2 linked regions of the Lepisosteus oculatus genome follow. The protein of the gene in region 1 purifies or fractionates together with the protein of each later gene. This does not show direct contact. Links are inferred from orthologs where the notes say so. Each region holds a gene or a part of one and is shown on either strand. Other genes may lie near its edges. The genes, in order: pheta1 and ocrl.

Region 1 (7,919 bases):
CGTGAGCGTGCAGCAGTGTCTCTCTCCCCCCGCAGATCTCCCTGCCCAGCTCCACCCCCAGCTCCAGCCCCTCCGACAGCTCGGACTTCAGCTCGGAGGACGACAGCACCGTGGTGCTCCTGCGGCCCAAGTCCCGCAGCCCCAGCCCCGGCAAGGCCAAGCAGAGGGGCCGCCGGAGCCGCAGCCGCAGCCCGGCGCTGCCCCGGCTGCAGGGCCTCAACCTGCGCCCTCACTCCCGGGAGACGGGCGCCCGCAGCCCCTCGCCCCGCACCGGCGCTAAGAGGGAGCGCCTCGTCTGCGAGTCCGACGAGTCCCCCGACACCTGCTGCCCCCTCCCGCAGGACCCCGACGGCAGCCCCAGCACTCCCAGCATCGAAGTCAACGCCCCAGAGGACCTGCCCAGCCCCGGCTCCGCCAGGGAACGCGGGCCCTCTGAGGGTCCTGCCTCTGGGTGGAAGGCTTCAGGCGAGCGCCAGGATCCGGCGTTGTGACAGGCCCCACGTCCTGGGATAAGGAGCGGGGTCCAGGCCCCGTGGAGTCTGGCTTGGCACTTTGACATGCTCCGAGCGGTCTGCTCCGCTTCCTTCAGTGACGAATTCCTGACACCACATGAGTCAGGAGAAAAGTAGGCCTCCTGCTTCTGTGACTGTCCTCAACAATTCTCTACCATCTGAACACATTCCTTCTGCTTCCTCCTGTCTGTGTCTCTATCCCTCCTCTTACCTCACTGTCTCGACCATCCTTTTTTTCACCTCCTGGCTCCCTGTTCCTGGAATACAAGAAAAATGCCAGGTTTTTTACACGTGTCTGTTCATACAAATTTGGTGAGTTTCTGTCAGTATTGCAAAATATGTGAATGTTTCCAGAAAAGTTTGGTTTTAGTTTTACTAGTCTCATACACTGGTGATATGATGACATTTTTTTCTGTCATTGAACATTTGCACAAGACGTCAATCAGAAATGTCTGACTGCATGAGATCTTGAAATAAGGCTAGTAATAATGCTACCTTAATGCAGTTTTTTCTGAGAATTGTGTTTTCTTTTGCCACTATGTTTATTGGCATTTAGAATTTCATGACAATCAAGTAATCAAATCCAAGTTGTATGTGACTCTTTTATATAGTGGTTATTCCCACAGTAAGTGCATCTCAGAGGCAAATAAAGCTGACATCGGTGCCTCTATGAAAATGGAGCCCTACCCTCTTCTCTCACTCGCACTGAAATAGAAAGGCACCAGTTTCAATAGCTGTAGGTTGAGTAACAAGTGTAACTCCTAGTGAACCTTCCAGCACGGTGTACCGCGGCAGGTGTTGTTCACATGTAGTAGATGTTGTGTAAAGCTGTGCTATAAGAACATAAAAACAAGTGAAAGCCATTTGGCCCATCTAGCCTGTTTGATAGTCAGTAGGTAATTGATTCAGGTACTGTACCTTATTCAGTCGTTTCTCTTGTTGCGCTACTGAACCTTTCATTAAAAATAACAATCAAGCCATATAAAAAATGATCCAGCGGAGCAGTGAACTTATCAATAACTGGAACCTAATTAGTCTCTGCAAATCAATGCTCCTTCTGTCGGGTGGGCAGCTCAGTGTCAATATAATGATTTTGGCAGAGAAGGACACAGCTCATTGAATGGTGAATTGAACTCTAATTCTTTACTATGGAGTTGTGTAAAAACACAATTTTGTTCCTGAGATCATTATTACCTGCACTTCAGAACTTATGCATACATTTTTCTGGTAATATCATTGTGTTTATAATAAAGAATAACCTAGACTTCACCTCAAAACAGAAAAAATATTAAAAACCAACAGCAAAGAACGTAATGGTCATAATTTGACAGTGATGAAGGTGAAGATTTCAGTCCCATCATTACTAGTAGTGCTCTGTTTTAAATGGGGGCACAGCAGAATCCTAAAAAATGGTTTAAAGGAGAAGAAAAGCTTCCCATTTTAAAAGACTTTAAACTTACTTTGCTTGCACTGCTGGGCACATTTGTGTCACATGCAGAACATGAACATTTTTAAAGTTAAGTTCCCTTTGCTTGATCATTCTTGACTAAGAACAGGCCTATTATTTTCCAGCCAATTTAAATAACACATTTCCTTATTAAGGGCAGCTTGGTGGCACAGTGATTAGCATTGCTGCCTCGCAGCACTGTGGCCCTTGGCTCAATTGCTGGGTTACTGTGTGGAGTTTGTGTGTTCTCCTTGCGTCATCATGGGTCTTTTGCCCTGTGCTCTGGTTTGCTCCCGCAATCCAAAGACATGCTGTAGGTTAATTGGCTTCTGGGAAGACGGGCCCTGTGGTGTTGGTGTCTGTCTGCCCTGCAATGGACTGGAGTCCTGTCCAGGGTGTATCATGCCTTGTGTCTCTTTCTTGCTGGGAAAGTGGGTAGAACATTGATGGGTGGATGGACTTCCTTATTAAACTTATTAAACAGCACGGGGAGACTAGCAATCTGTTCCTGAAGACTCAGTCATTGAGCCAGATCCTTCCTTTAAACTAGCTACCCTAGTTACCAGCCACAGCCAGACTGAGAGGGCTGCCCTTACTGAAGCAGACCTCTGGCACGAATCGGGTCCATGCTGTCTCATAGTATGTTCTGGAGTCCAGCTTGCAATCTCCAAACTGTAGCCAAACCTACAGTATATGCCATGCAAAAGACTTGGAAGGTTTTTGCACTCTGAAGCCCCTTAACCTTAATTAACTTTGAACTTGAAACACCTGGGTGTTTATTCACATATTCCTCTTGCCCCATCACTGTGAAGGATAGAAATGTCTGAGGGAGTTTTGAATAGCTGAAGCCATGGAGATGTTCCTTTGCAGTGCAGGTTGCTGCAGCTAGCAGAGTACCAGTAAATCATGGCTGGGCAGAGTTGTCTGGGACACCTTTACTGTAGCTCCCAGGGTTTTGCTGTGAAAGTGTGGTATCCATTTGTCCTTCGCTGCTTGTGTTTCAGCATTAAAGCATGGAAACATATCTTGGGGGATACGTTTTTGTTCTGTCCTCAGGCTCCTTCTTTGGTGTAAGAATAAAAACTGTTGCCTGTACATTGTTGTATATATGTTTGTACTATATGTTCTTCTGGGTGGTCATATTTTCACAGCTATTACAATTTTCACAGCTCTTATTACACATAATGGATTTTTAAATGACCATGATCTTTCTTCTTTCTTGTTGTGCTTATTTATTTATTCGAATACCTAGATAATGGGCTGAAACTGTGTTCGTCTGTGTACAATCCTGAATCAAAATCTGTACTAGTGAATTGTTAAAAATTATATTTATTGTATCATTTTGAAATCATTTCAATTCTGTGCAAGACAGAGAAAGTACTCCGTGAGATATCTTTGGAATTGCATACCTCAGTGGTGACAGAGTTGTGAAATTTGTGTGATCATTTTGATTTTCACAGGGCAGTGGGACTTATGCAGTAGCAGTGCAGCACGAGTGTGAGTTTGAAGTTGTCTTTCTCTGTGAAGTCCAGGCTGTTCTCTTACACTAGCAAACCTGGATCATGTGATTGTTGCCAGAGCAACGAGAGGCAGTATGCTCGATGCACCCACTCCCTCCACCCATAATGCAGTGCTGTGATGCCCCTGCTGTGGAAACAGGGGAGCTCTCCAGTCACCCTGCTGTTGTGCCACCTCTGTCACTCCAAATAAAGCTAAAAAAAATCCTTTTCAAAATGTGACTGTTTCTCATAATGTTTTTTTACCCTAATTAATAATTCCTTAATAATTGCTTACACTTATATAGCGCTTTTCTGGACAGTCCACTCAAAGCGCTTTATAGGTAATGGGGACTCCCCTCCACCACCACCAGTGTGCAGCCCCACCTGGATGACGCGACGGCAGCCTAATGTTTTTGTTGTTTGTTTGTGTTGCGACGGAGAAGTCTGTGAGGTGCAAAACAGTGGCTAAGAGGCAATTCACTAAACAGGAAAAATATTTGTTTGATTGAAAAGGTTGTCAGACGTGTTTCTGCAATGGCATCTCAAATGCTTTCTCCTGTAGGCCAGGACTGCTAAATGCTTTCATGAACTGCAGTGACTGTTCTCCTGTATCATCGAGTTAATCTAATTATACCTCATATCAGTGTAAACGGGGGCTAAAGTTTCACATTCTGTGTCCCATTAGAGACCATGTTTATAAAGCCTTCTGGAGTGTGTGGATACTTTCTGGTCATTTTAATAAGAAGAAGCAGAGGATGACAAGGCAGCATGTTAGACCTACAACCCTGATTTTGGAAAGCCTCAATCTAGTAAATCTCGAGTTTCTAAACATTGAAAACAAGTAAGCAAGGTTTTTTTCTTTTTTCCAAGGAATAGGTGGGTGGCATGCTGGTGCAGTGGTCAGCACTGCTGTCTTGCAGAGCTGGTGTCCTGGGTTCACTTCTGGACCTGGGGTGCTGTGTGTGCAGTTTGTACGTTCTCCCCTTGTTCCATGTTCATGTGGCCCTGTACTGGAAGAAGCAGTTAGAAAATGGATAGAACTGCGGTCCTTGAGGGAAGGAATTCAGATTCTTTTAGCCCAAGTGATCTCTTCAATTAATTATTTTAATTATAGTCTAAAATCGTTCCAGGACTTTAGAAGTAGACCAGGTTTGATGGTATTCTATAAAACCGCCTGGACAGGGGCTCTTCAAGACCATGAAACTGAGACTTCCTGTATTACCTTGCAATCCTGAAATGAAAGATGAATGCATATATATGTATAAACATACTAGCAATTTGAATTATGAACATTGTATTTTGTTCAGGCTTGTGTCAGCAGTGCTTCTGCCATTGAAATAACTACAAAGAGCGGAGTCTACGAGTGCTCCGCAAACACTAAGGCTGCAGGAGAACTGCGCTCTTCCTTCTTGCTTATTCTGGCAGGCAGGAAGAAACAGAAATGCGGTCGGCACAACCGCGTTGCGCTGCGTCTTAAACAGGGTCTGAAGGACTTCCATTGCAAAGTCTGCCTCTGGCATTTCCCCGACTTCATCCTGGTCGAAACTCCAGTCATGTGACGCGCATCAGCGCCAGAGACAGGAAAAAGGGGGACGTGTCATCAGTTCAGTTCAGTGCCCGAGTAAAACTGCTCCGTAAGATCGTCTGTGCCCGGGTGGGGTGGGTTAACGAGGCGAAAAACAACCCGTTGGCGTGCATGGCACGGAGTGAGGCGCTGTGATGAAATCCCAAGCCCCGACACATGTCTCCCTCCGTCCTTGACGGGCCCCCCCGCCCGCAGCGCCGACAGCGAGCCGGAGGAGCCGCCTGCTTCGGCGGACCGAGTAAGTTTACTGCCCCGTTCTAAACATGAAGGCTTTTTTTTTTAATAAAATGCATGGTTATCTATTGTAAAAAAAAAAATAGTCTGTTGCACTCTACCAAGTAATCCGCTGTCTGTGTTTTTTAGGAATCACTGCGTTTGACTTTTTTTTTTTGTTCCTGAAAATGAAAACAGAAACAAAACTGCGCATGTGTTGATCATCGGGGTATTTATAAAATGTACCCAGCGCTGGACACGCGAGATCTTTTGTTTTCGTAGGAATCGAGAAGAACAAATACAACTTGTTTTTTGTTGCTGTGATTCGGTTTAAAATGTCTAATGTGTTACATGGGAGCAACGTTAAGGAAGACGTTTTAATTTCGTGTTACTTAGTGGAGCTATTTTTTGTGGTCACAATGGAAAAATCCTGTAAGTATTCTTGCACCTACATGCACTATACGTGTAACACTGGAATGATGTTAATACAAGAATTTCTTTCTTGCACTGAGTTATTAAGTTTTAAGTAATGTTCTCACGCTAGGAGAAGTGTGTGTATCACACATTTCACACATCTCACACCTCAGAAAGCAAGATCTGAAAAAGTAACCAAGTGTGTCATTCTTTCATATCTTAAAGGACGTGTGTTGAATCCGTGGAAAGCGAAACTTTATCTGTAGCCGAGATAAATAAACGCAAATGTGTCGAGAGACGCACGTTATGTGTGTCTTGGGTTCACAGGTCGAGAAATGGCTTAATTAAGCTCAAACCAGCAGCTGAGCCACGAATGGATGTGTGTCAGACAGCGCTTAATGTTGTAACGCCCTGAAGGCTAAGTATGATTAAACTGGTTAAATAGTAAATAAACGAGTGATCAGAGATAATGAAATAATTATAGGTAGATAGTCCGCGGAACACTGTATAACCACAGATTTTCAAACGAGCAGAATCTTGTCAGTTACCTGAAAGATCAGACGGAAGTCATCCCATTGTACTAATGTCGCTAGCAAGAACACATAGTGCACAAAAAAAATGAAAACGTCAGTGTACAGTCACTTTATAATAAGGCGCTGCGTGTGGCCGGGACGGGTCCACCGTCCGGCAATGTCTGGATTCTGCAAGAGGGAAGCGGCACACAGTTCTTCCACAAGAAAGCCCATCCACTCAACTCAACCGTGCTTGGATTGTGGAGGTGGAAAATGCTGTCTCAGGTGATCCTGAATATCCTATAAATGTTCCAATGGCCTCGGATGTGACTCCTGAATCTTTTTTTAGTCACATCTCTCCCCAAACGCTTGTGGGACTGAGGGAGTTTAGAACAAACCACCATACCATGTGGCTGAAGCCAATGTCCTGGCTTCCTTCGAGAAAGGTCGGGATGTGATCCCTTGCATCAGTAACCTACTAACTACCGATTGTCCAGATGACCAGAACAACATCCTCTCATTGTTAACATTTCTTATGTTCTTATGACCTGGTAACTGTTTTCAGTTGCGTCTAAGTAATGAACACTCCCAAACCAACTTGAACTATAACGGTTTGGATAAAAAATGAAATACTCTTATTTGGTTCTGCAGAAAATAAACAGTAGCTTACCGGAACGTTTATTTCTCCTCCTTCCATGTGGAGTTTGCCTGTAACTCCTGTGTTGCCATGGGTTTTGCCCTGGTTCCTAGAGACCTGCTTTGACCTGCAAAATCTATGTTTTATTGCTGTGAGAAGAGAGGAGGTTTGGGTTTCCTGATGTACTGTAGCACTCATCAGATCAAGACCCTCTGTGAATCTCCTTCTGGGAGTGTGTGTGTACAGGGTGATCTCATGCAGCCAGAGAGAAGGGAGGAACTGTGGAAAACGTTTCCATGGAGGAAGTGAGAGTGGCATCTGTCAAGGTGATGAACTTCTAGTCAGGGTCTGTATGTTTCGATAAACATGTAAGCATTTTTGTGCTGTAAGCTCTGGTGTGTGAGAACAAAGTGATTGCAGGAGCTGCGTGGCGTCATGTTGCTGCCCTTTGCCTGTTTTGTTCAGCGGAAAAAGGAGCTGTTCTTCCCCCACCATTTTGTTCCTCCGGTGTGTCAGAGCCCGCTGTGTGCTCCCTCTTTCAGCACGGAGCAGAGGAGAATGAGCAGTCCCGCCTCCTCTGGTCTGGGGCGCTGTGAGTGTCCTTAGGCCTCTTGGCTGCTCCGTAGTGTCCGTGTGCTTCAGGAAATGGAAAAGAAACGTGAGTAGACCTGCTTTTATTTCATATGGCCATGGTGCTTCATGGGTATAATAATGAGGTCTGTCCACTACACCTGTGAAAATGATCTAAATGATCTTACTTTAAAGTTTGTGGTGTGGTTATACCCTCTGGAGAGCAGGAGTGACAGAAAATGAATCATAACAATATGAAAAAGGAGGGTTTAGAGACTGTAAGAGCATATACTGTGCTGTGCGGCTCAAAGCAGGTAAGAGGCTTTTCCCATAAGAATTATTGGAATAGAGTCAGGTTAGGGACCTTAATTTAGACTGAGTGTGTGTTCACTTGTGGCTAAACAAATTTATTATAGAGGATTCTGTTATAAGTCCAGGTTATGTTTCTAAATAATGCAGTGAAATGATTTAGGGGAATAAATATCCATAAGGAATAATGTAATCAATTAGAGATACATCCCCATCATACA
Region 2 (7,364 bases), on another chromosome or scaffold:
CAGCCAGTTTGCAGAAGGATTGTCTCGGACCCAGCAACTAGCGGCCGCTCACAAATGTACCTGAAGGAGCGCAACAGCTCTCACCTTGGACCCCAGGATATGCATCAGATTTTGTAGGTCACTTTGTGGGCACCCCAGGTTTTTAGAAGAAGGAGCTTCTTGGCGATATGTTTTATCGGCTTCAATGAATACATTTTTTTTTATCATAGCATTATATGCTGAGGGTAATGTAGAGAATAAATACACCCATTCACATTAGACGTAAAAGCGAAAAGCTTTTCACACGGGGCAGTAACATAATTTTTTGTTTGCGAGCAATTGCCCCCTCTAGTGGATAACACCTGCCATCGCACTGTCATTTAAATTTCGTCGACTCGGTGTCGAACACTTGCATTGCATCGAAGAAAAAAAAACGTTAGTACCTTCGGATTAACAAAAAAGACGTGAAGAAAACAACACGATTATAAAGCAGCACAATCGGTATGAATGAGGCCGATCGGACAACCCTGCATTGTTGTGGTGCTTTGCAGAGTGTCTGTCCCCGTCGGCTCTGAGGAAGGTGTCTCGCAGGTGTCACGGGAGACCGAACTGCTCGGTACTCGCGGACACGCAGAGCTTCGGCGACCCCTGTTTTCCGGGGATGAAGAAGCACCTCCGTGTGTCCTATGCATGTGGTGAGTGAGACTGGGTAAAAACGCAATTTAAATATTTGTTGTCACGGGCAAATTTTGCGGCCTGCCTTTGCCCTGCATCTGTCAATGTCCACGGTTAATTTGAATAGATTGAAATGACAGGAAAAGGAGGACTGGAGAAAGATGAGAAAAAGGAGAGGAGAGTGTTCAGCCTCACTAGCTCTTTTTTGCTAGAGGCCAACTGGTCCTAGATCTCATCCCACCTCTTCCCCTTCTTCCATGACAGAGAAAAGCTGAGCAGCTTGTTCCACACTCCCACCACACTTTGTGTAAATAAGAGCCTCCTGTAATCAGTAATCAAAGCCCCTGACGATCTGCCTCAGGCAGTTGCACATTGGGATTTTGATCCCTGTCTGTCAGCCAGCTTGCCTTTTATGTTTTTTGCGAGTTCTCTAGATGAGGGCTCCTTCCCTTGTGTTTGTGACTCTCCCTGTCTTCCAGTGCCCAGAGTTCTCCTGGAGGAGCTGGGACGGGGCTCTCCAGACCCTTTCTCCATCTCCGACTACACTCACGGTGAGAGACCCGCGGGCTGTCCTGGAGCTTTCACGTTTATCAGCGCTCTTATCGGACAGCGGCTTGCAGTATCCACACCAGACATCAGAGGACACGAGACAAAGGGTTCCAAAACCCACAGTGGCGAGAACACTCCTTTCTGGTTCAGCATTTGTGGCACCTCATTCGTGAATTATGAGTATGGATATCGAGGAAAATAGGCCAAAACGTGCGAGCCCCTAGTTTTTGTATCAATAATCGCTGACTCTTTAACTATCTTGGTTTTTCTCCCATTTTCCTGATCTTTAAAGTGTTAGCAAGAAAAGATCTGAACAAGCGATGATTTTATACATCTTGCTTAAACTCAACGGGTTATTTAACATTATTTATTGGTCACGCCAACGTTTAGAATCCGTGTCCAAAAGACATCTCTGTCATTTTCCTTGCACACGCCGGCTCACCAGCAGAGATGCCATATTTCAGTCCCAGAGCAGCGTGAAGGAAATGACAGCAGATCACAAGGCGATCAATAGAGATACACGGCCCATCTGCTGCCTTCGCTGAGAGCTCTGCACGTCCCCGGGGTTGAGGCAGGACGGCCTGAGGTGCCCCCGCTGGCAGGCTCCCAGCACGGCACACGCAGGGTTAGACATACTGGTCTGGCCTTCTCAGCGGCCCCTAAGCCCAGTCCCTCTTCACCCACAGGAGGCTGGTACACTGGCCCCGGAGTGTCCAGGCTTCATGGGAAGGTGGTGGTTTTTACCAGTGCTTTGGAGGTCTTTGCCCGAGTCTGGGGTACGTCGCTGTGTGTTGTGCTCAGCCCCAGGGGCCTCCGTGTCTGGTTCAGTGTGGTCTGGGCGTCAGGCAGAGTGAAAGTGAGAGTGTGTGGAGAAAGGTCCAGGTCTCTAGTGGCTCCTAAACAGCGAGCCCAGGGCACTGCAGAGGCAGTAGCTCCATGAACGCAACAAGAGGAAGGACTAAGTCTGCATGCCGGTTCTTATTTTACCCATCCTATTACATATTAGCAATCCCCCCCAGTTTTCTGTTTCTGTTACTGTACACGGTGTGTTCTATTTGGTGTGAAACACTGACTCTGGCAGCCATCAGGGTGCTGGTGTCGTCCCTGTTTGAGCTGTACCAGACAGAGCGGGCCCGGCGGGCCTGACGAGCCTGACGAGCCTGACGAGCCCCGCCCCTGCCGGCTCTTTCCCCAGGCCTGCCCGAGACGGTGGCCCTGTACTTCGTCTCGGGGATCTGCGCCGGCCTGGTCTTCCTCCTGTGCGTGTTCGGGCTGAAGTCCATGGTGCTGCGGGACGTGAAGAGCCTGTGGCTGGAGCTCGAGGTGGCCCGGAAGGCCCGCCTGGCCCGGAAGGCGGCGGCGCTGGCGCCGGCCCGGCGGGAGCTGATGGCGGACCTGGAGGACGACAGCTCCTCCGACTCCTCGTTCCGCCGCCTGACCTGGGCCTACCGCACGGCCGACACCCTCTTCAGCTCCGAGCTGACCGTGGAAATGGAGGAGAGGGGCGACGGCAAGGAGCTGCAGGAGGGGGACATGTGGCTGCCGGGCGACTCCAGCCCCTACGCCATCCACAAGATCCAGGCCTCCGGCCCCTAGGGAGCGGCACGCCGGAGTTCTGGGACAGCCGGGCTCGGAGTGACCCGGATCAGCTCATCACGGGCTCAACGGGACCCCTTTAGCAGCTTCTCCCAGCTTCTCTACAGGGGCTGGAGCCTCAGAGACGCCTGCAGGACCTGGAGACACGCTGCAGTCCAGCCGGATCGGGACCGGAGAGCCCCACCGTAAAGAAAGAGACGTAAAAAAACCCACCCGGAAACCTCTTGAGCGCTGAAACTTTATTTCTGTGAAGAAGGCATGAGAATTATTATTACTATTATTATTGCATGGTTTGTGAGCATTTGTCTAACAAAAAAAAATTAAAAGCCTTTGTTTACAATTAACAACTGTATGTGATGTACAGTAGCTGTACAGTTGTCTCAGAGTTTAACATGAACTTCAATGCTACAGATATTGAATGGATTAATAAAGTACTGAACTGGTTAACATTTCTCTGGTGCCTAAAATGTTAAATCAAAATTATGGTATGAATTATTCCTTTAATATTTTTTGTACCTAAATCAGCAATTAGTTTTTTTTTAATGTGGTACCATAGTGCACAGTTAAAATGTAAAATGCATTATCTGCAGCTCTTGTTAAATCATGAACATGTAAAAAGTATTTTATATATTGACCTTTTAATATTTCCCTCATGTTTTTTCACTTATTACTTGCTTTGTATTGGGGAAAAAAACAATTCTAAATATAATAAATAAAACTAATAATATGTGGTTGTTATCTGTACATTTTATTTTATTCGGTTTTCTGATATGATAGTTTTGGATCCATAATAGAAAATACCACGTCAACAGCTACTTGTCGTCTCTGTCAGTTGTCTAAGATACAGTTCATTACAGACGGATAGTTCAAAGTGCTCACATTCAAAATCAGACAGTTTTGGGACAAAACAAAGTGACGAGATTAAGGAGTTACCGGCTTTGTGTGGGAAATAGTCTTGGATGACAGCAGCAAAAATTCGTGGAAATATGCCCCACGAAGAAAACTCCATCGCTGGTCAGCTGGTCGAAAGAAAACCGATAAAATAACCTGGACTTGACTTGAGGCGACCTCACCTCTTTTGCTGACATTATTAACATGTAATAGGTTTATTCCATGCTGAAAAAAAGAAGAAAGAGAACACAACGTTTCGGCCGTGGAGCCTTCTTCAGGTGTCAAGGTTTGACACCTGAAGAAGGCTCCACGGCCGAAACGTTGTGTTCTCTTTCTTCTTTTTTTCAGCATGAAATAAACCTATTACTTGTTCCTTTGCAGCCTACGCATGCTGACGCAGCTACCCACCTGCATTATTAACATGTGCATTTCTTTAAAGAAAACAGTAATCAGGAATTTATCTTTCTTTAACCGTGTCAGAAATTAAACCTGGGGAGCACAGCCCCTTCTGTAACTCGGGGAGACGCCGATTTTGTGCGCGTCTCTTTGACGCGGCCCGTAACGTAAGACAGGGTCTTCCCAGCCGGTAGAGGGCAGTAAGTTTCGGAAATGGGGGTATATTCTTGCAGCCGCACCGCCAGGACTCTTTCTGTCGCTCGGCCGTTTTAATCCGGCTCCAGTTTCCAGGTAAAGCGCAGCTGTCGAGTGGGAGCGGAGGCGCTGGAGCCGGGGCCTGGGAGAGTCTGAGTGCGCCGCGGTGTCGAATAGGGGGCGCAGCCGAGGACATGCGACTTCTCGCCGGCGAGGGCTGCAAGACAACACTGACCTCCGGGGCAGCCAGAGCGGGTTACAGACACGACCCAGTCCGCGGACTGCGGGAGCCTCGGGATTAGTTTTCTTGGCGAGGGGGAAGATCGGGTTGTGTTACTCCGGCCCTGCTCCCGGGACACAGGTATTGTGAGCGAGGTTGGTCGGACCTCGGAAGGCACCGTGCGCCTGGTAACCCCGAGCAGGAGACCGAGAGCCCCGGCTTGTCGGCTCTGCCAGACCCCGGTCTCCAGCATTTCATTACCATTCCTCCTGGAGGAGCAGACTGCGGGGGAGGAGTGTGCCACAAATAAATACGGGACCTGGGGAAAGAAAAGAAAATACGGCCGAGCTGTGACCATCATCACACCCTTAGTCGCTGATGGAGACGTCTTCAGCATTCGGACTCTGCAAAAGCCAATGTATTGCAATATCCTTTCATTTCTGTACTTTTTTGTTTTCCGAGTATTTCCTGCCTCAGAAATACCATGCGTCTTCGTGTTAGTGAGGGAGGCACGCAAGTTGTGATAATATGCAGCGCAGGTGACTTACGCCGGACACTTTACGTCCCGTTTAGAAATGTCAATATATCTCTTAATCGTTCTTTAAAGAAAGGGGAACAAAAAGAACGGTGCTTTTATATGTCGAACCGCATTGAAATATGTGAAGGTGATGTTCAATAGTCATAATCCAGCCGTAGAAACAGCTTGATCACACGAATCGTTGAGTTTGTGGGCATCACCCCCGGTGCAGTGTTGACAGGCACCCACGCAAGCAGGCCGGCTTGGACCCAGAGTCAGTCAATCTGTCTTGCAGCAGCCCTTGAGGGGGTGTGTTTGATACGCCCTTGTGTCCTTATCTCTCTCCCCGCCGTCTTCAAAGGCCGCACGAACCTGGCAGTGAAAATCAATCTCCGTGCACGCAGTGTAGGTTTATTGGTCATGTGCGACATCCTGACGGGCTGTAAAGCGCAGGTAGGCTCGGGGTCAGAGTGCTCTTCCCTACGGTCCGCCCTGTGTCGTTTGAAAGGAGATCTCCGACATTGACAGGGTCTGCACACGTTATGACGAAAGGCATGAGTTAGGACGGCTGTGGCGCGCTGCAGTGTCACCGTGAGCGTTTTCATTCAAGGTTGGTTTGTGTTCAAAAACGTGTGGCTAGGTCTGTGATCAGTGTTTACCGTTGATCCCGAAAACGTGTACCGGTGGGACGCGGGAAAGCGTGTGTAGGCACGGCCGCGGATTTGTACATGGCTGGAGAAAACGTGAGGAATTTTGTTTTTTGGCGTTAATAAAAATGTTCCGATTGCCAGAACCCTTTAAAAATACATTACCTGCAGGAATAGACGCGGGCAGTCTTTGTTCTCGTCGCTGGTGTCGCGGGGTCGCCCGGGGCTGGTGGTGGGTGACTTGCAGATGTGTGCGGTTTCCAGCTCTGGCGCTGTGGTTTGGTTGCAAGGATGAGGCGTACTGCTAGTCTCCTCCTTATCGCTCTGGCACGCTGAAGAGGTTAGTGCCTCATTTGTGTGAGGCTCAGGACAAGAGACATGAGGTAGCAATGCCCCATGCCTCCTCCTCCTCCTTCCCCACCCTCAGCCCTGCCTCCTTAACCTGCCGCCTCACACCGTGAAAGCCCAGGAGGTCAGAGGTGGACAGAAGGAGCCCAGGCTCCTCTCCCTCATCGAGTCCGCAGGGGAGTACAAGTAAGTATCTTCTCCTCTCCGTGCTGCCTCATGCAGGCCTGGTCTCCAGTGTGGAAGCAGAGTCTCCGCGAACCTGAACAGAGCCAGGCGCCGTCTGGCCCAAACCGGCTGGCTGGCTGGCTGGGACAGTAGAGAGGCGGCGCTCCACGCGCTGTCCTCGTCGCCATTCCTGTGTTCTTGTCCTGTTTCTCCGAGGGTGTGTGCTCTGGGCCCAGGAGTACGCATTGCACTTTGGCACCTGTGACAGTGCAGTAGCTTTCTGGTGCTGCCGGCTGCAGAAGTCTGCGAGTGTAAAACTCGGCTTCAGGGTACACTTCCAGCAGTAAAGCACCACCTTCAGGGGCTCGGCGGGCACAGGCCTTCCCGAGGGTCTTCTTGCTAGTGAGGCTGTGTGGGAATTGAAATGCATTCCTCCACTTTGTCACGGCTTCATCCAGTGGTGGGGGAGCTGGAGCCTGTCCCAGCAGGCAACAGGGGCAGGGTAGGGCACGGCCTGGGTGCGACGCCAGCCTGTCACAGGGCACACACTCACACAAGGGCCAGCCTTGCCAGAAGCCAATTAACCCACCAGCATGTCTTTCGACGTGTGATCCAAACCCGGGGAGAACGTCCGAACTCCACACAGACGGCACCCCAGGGCCGGAACCGGACCCTGGCCCCCGGTGCTTCAAGGCAGCAGTGCGTCTCACTCTGCCATTGTCCTGCCCGAAAGAAACATCTGTATTTTCCATTCTGAAAAGGCTTTGGGATAGAATATTGCTTGGTTGTCAGGTGCGCTGAGACACGCAGGACAGAGCAGCACCGTTTCTGCTCACTCGTTTGTTTTTAGGGGATTACAGTTCCAGCCAGCCAAGAAGCTGGGCTCATGACTTTGTTGACTCATGCAGACAGATGTTCACTCAGTTTCCATGTAATATAAGCGATTGACAGCGTCTCGGTTTTTTTTCTTTGCGAACGGCACGAGACTGGTGTGGGCTGTCATTCTGCATCACAGGGCGATGTGTGGGCAGTGCTGTAGGCGGAGTGCCATCCCCTCCCCTAGTGCACTGTGCTCACAGATAGAATAAAATGTTATCTCCAATAATAATATACTAACTAGGGCCTTTTATCAATTTGGTCTGCTGAATGCTGTCTGAAAAGAGGCCTTTGTTGTCAAGTGTGCTCA

What was found.
Region 2: the proteins of pheta1 (region 1) and ocrl purify together in Homo sapiens (co-immunoprecipitation; 5 studies listed by BioGRID and IntAct, counting the BioPlex papers as one, with this or other methods). This does not show direct contact. The link is inferred for Lepisosteus oculatus from reciprocal best matches to the Homo sapiens genes PHETA1 and OCRL.

What each region holds. Positions count from the first base shown.
Region 1 is NC_090717.1:12,852,346-12,860,264, forward strand, and holds the start of pheta1 (sesquipedalian-1), read left to right. Parts: upstream 1-4,887; 5' UTR 4,888-5,281; intron 5,282-5,288; exon of another isoform or gene 5,289-5,688; intron 5,689-7,361; 5' UTR 7,362-7,477; intron 7,478-7,919. Other genes in the region: phosphatidylinositol 4,5-bisphosphate 5-phosphatase A, read left to right, coding at 36-491. UniProt on the Homo sapiens protein: Plays a role in endocytic trafficking. Required for receptor recycling from endosomes, both to the trans-Golgi network and the plasma membrane.
Region 2 is NC_090703.1:50,395,850-50,403,213, forward strand, and holds the start of ocrl (inositol polyphosphate 5-phosphatase OCRL), read left to right. Parts: upstream 1-4,232; 5' UTR 4,233-4,879; coding exon 4,880-4,927; intron 4,928-6,119; coding exon 6,120-6,199; intron 6,200-7,364. Other genes in the region: protein eva-1 homolog C, read left to right, coding at 531-674, 1,134-1,205, 1,890-1,979, 2,399-2,799. UniProt on the Homo sapiens protein: Catalyzes the hydrolysis of the 5-position phosphate of phosphatidylinositol 4,5-bisphosphate (PtdIns(4,5)P2) and phosphatidylinositol-3,4,5-bisphosphate (PtdIns(3,4,5)P3), with the greatest catalytic activity towards PtdIns(4,5)P2.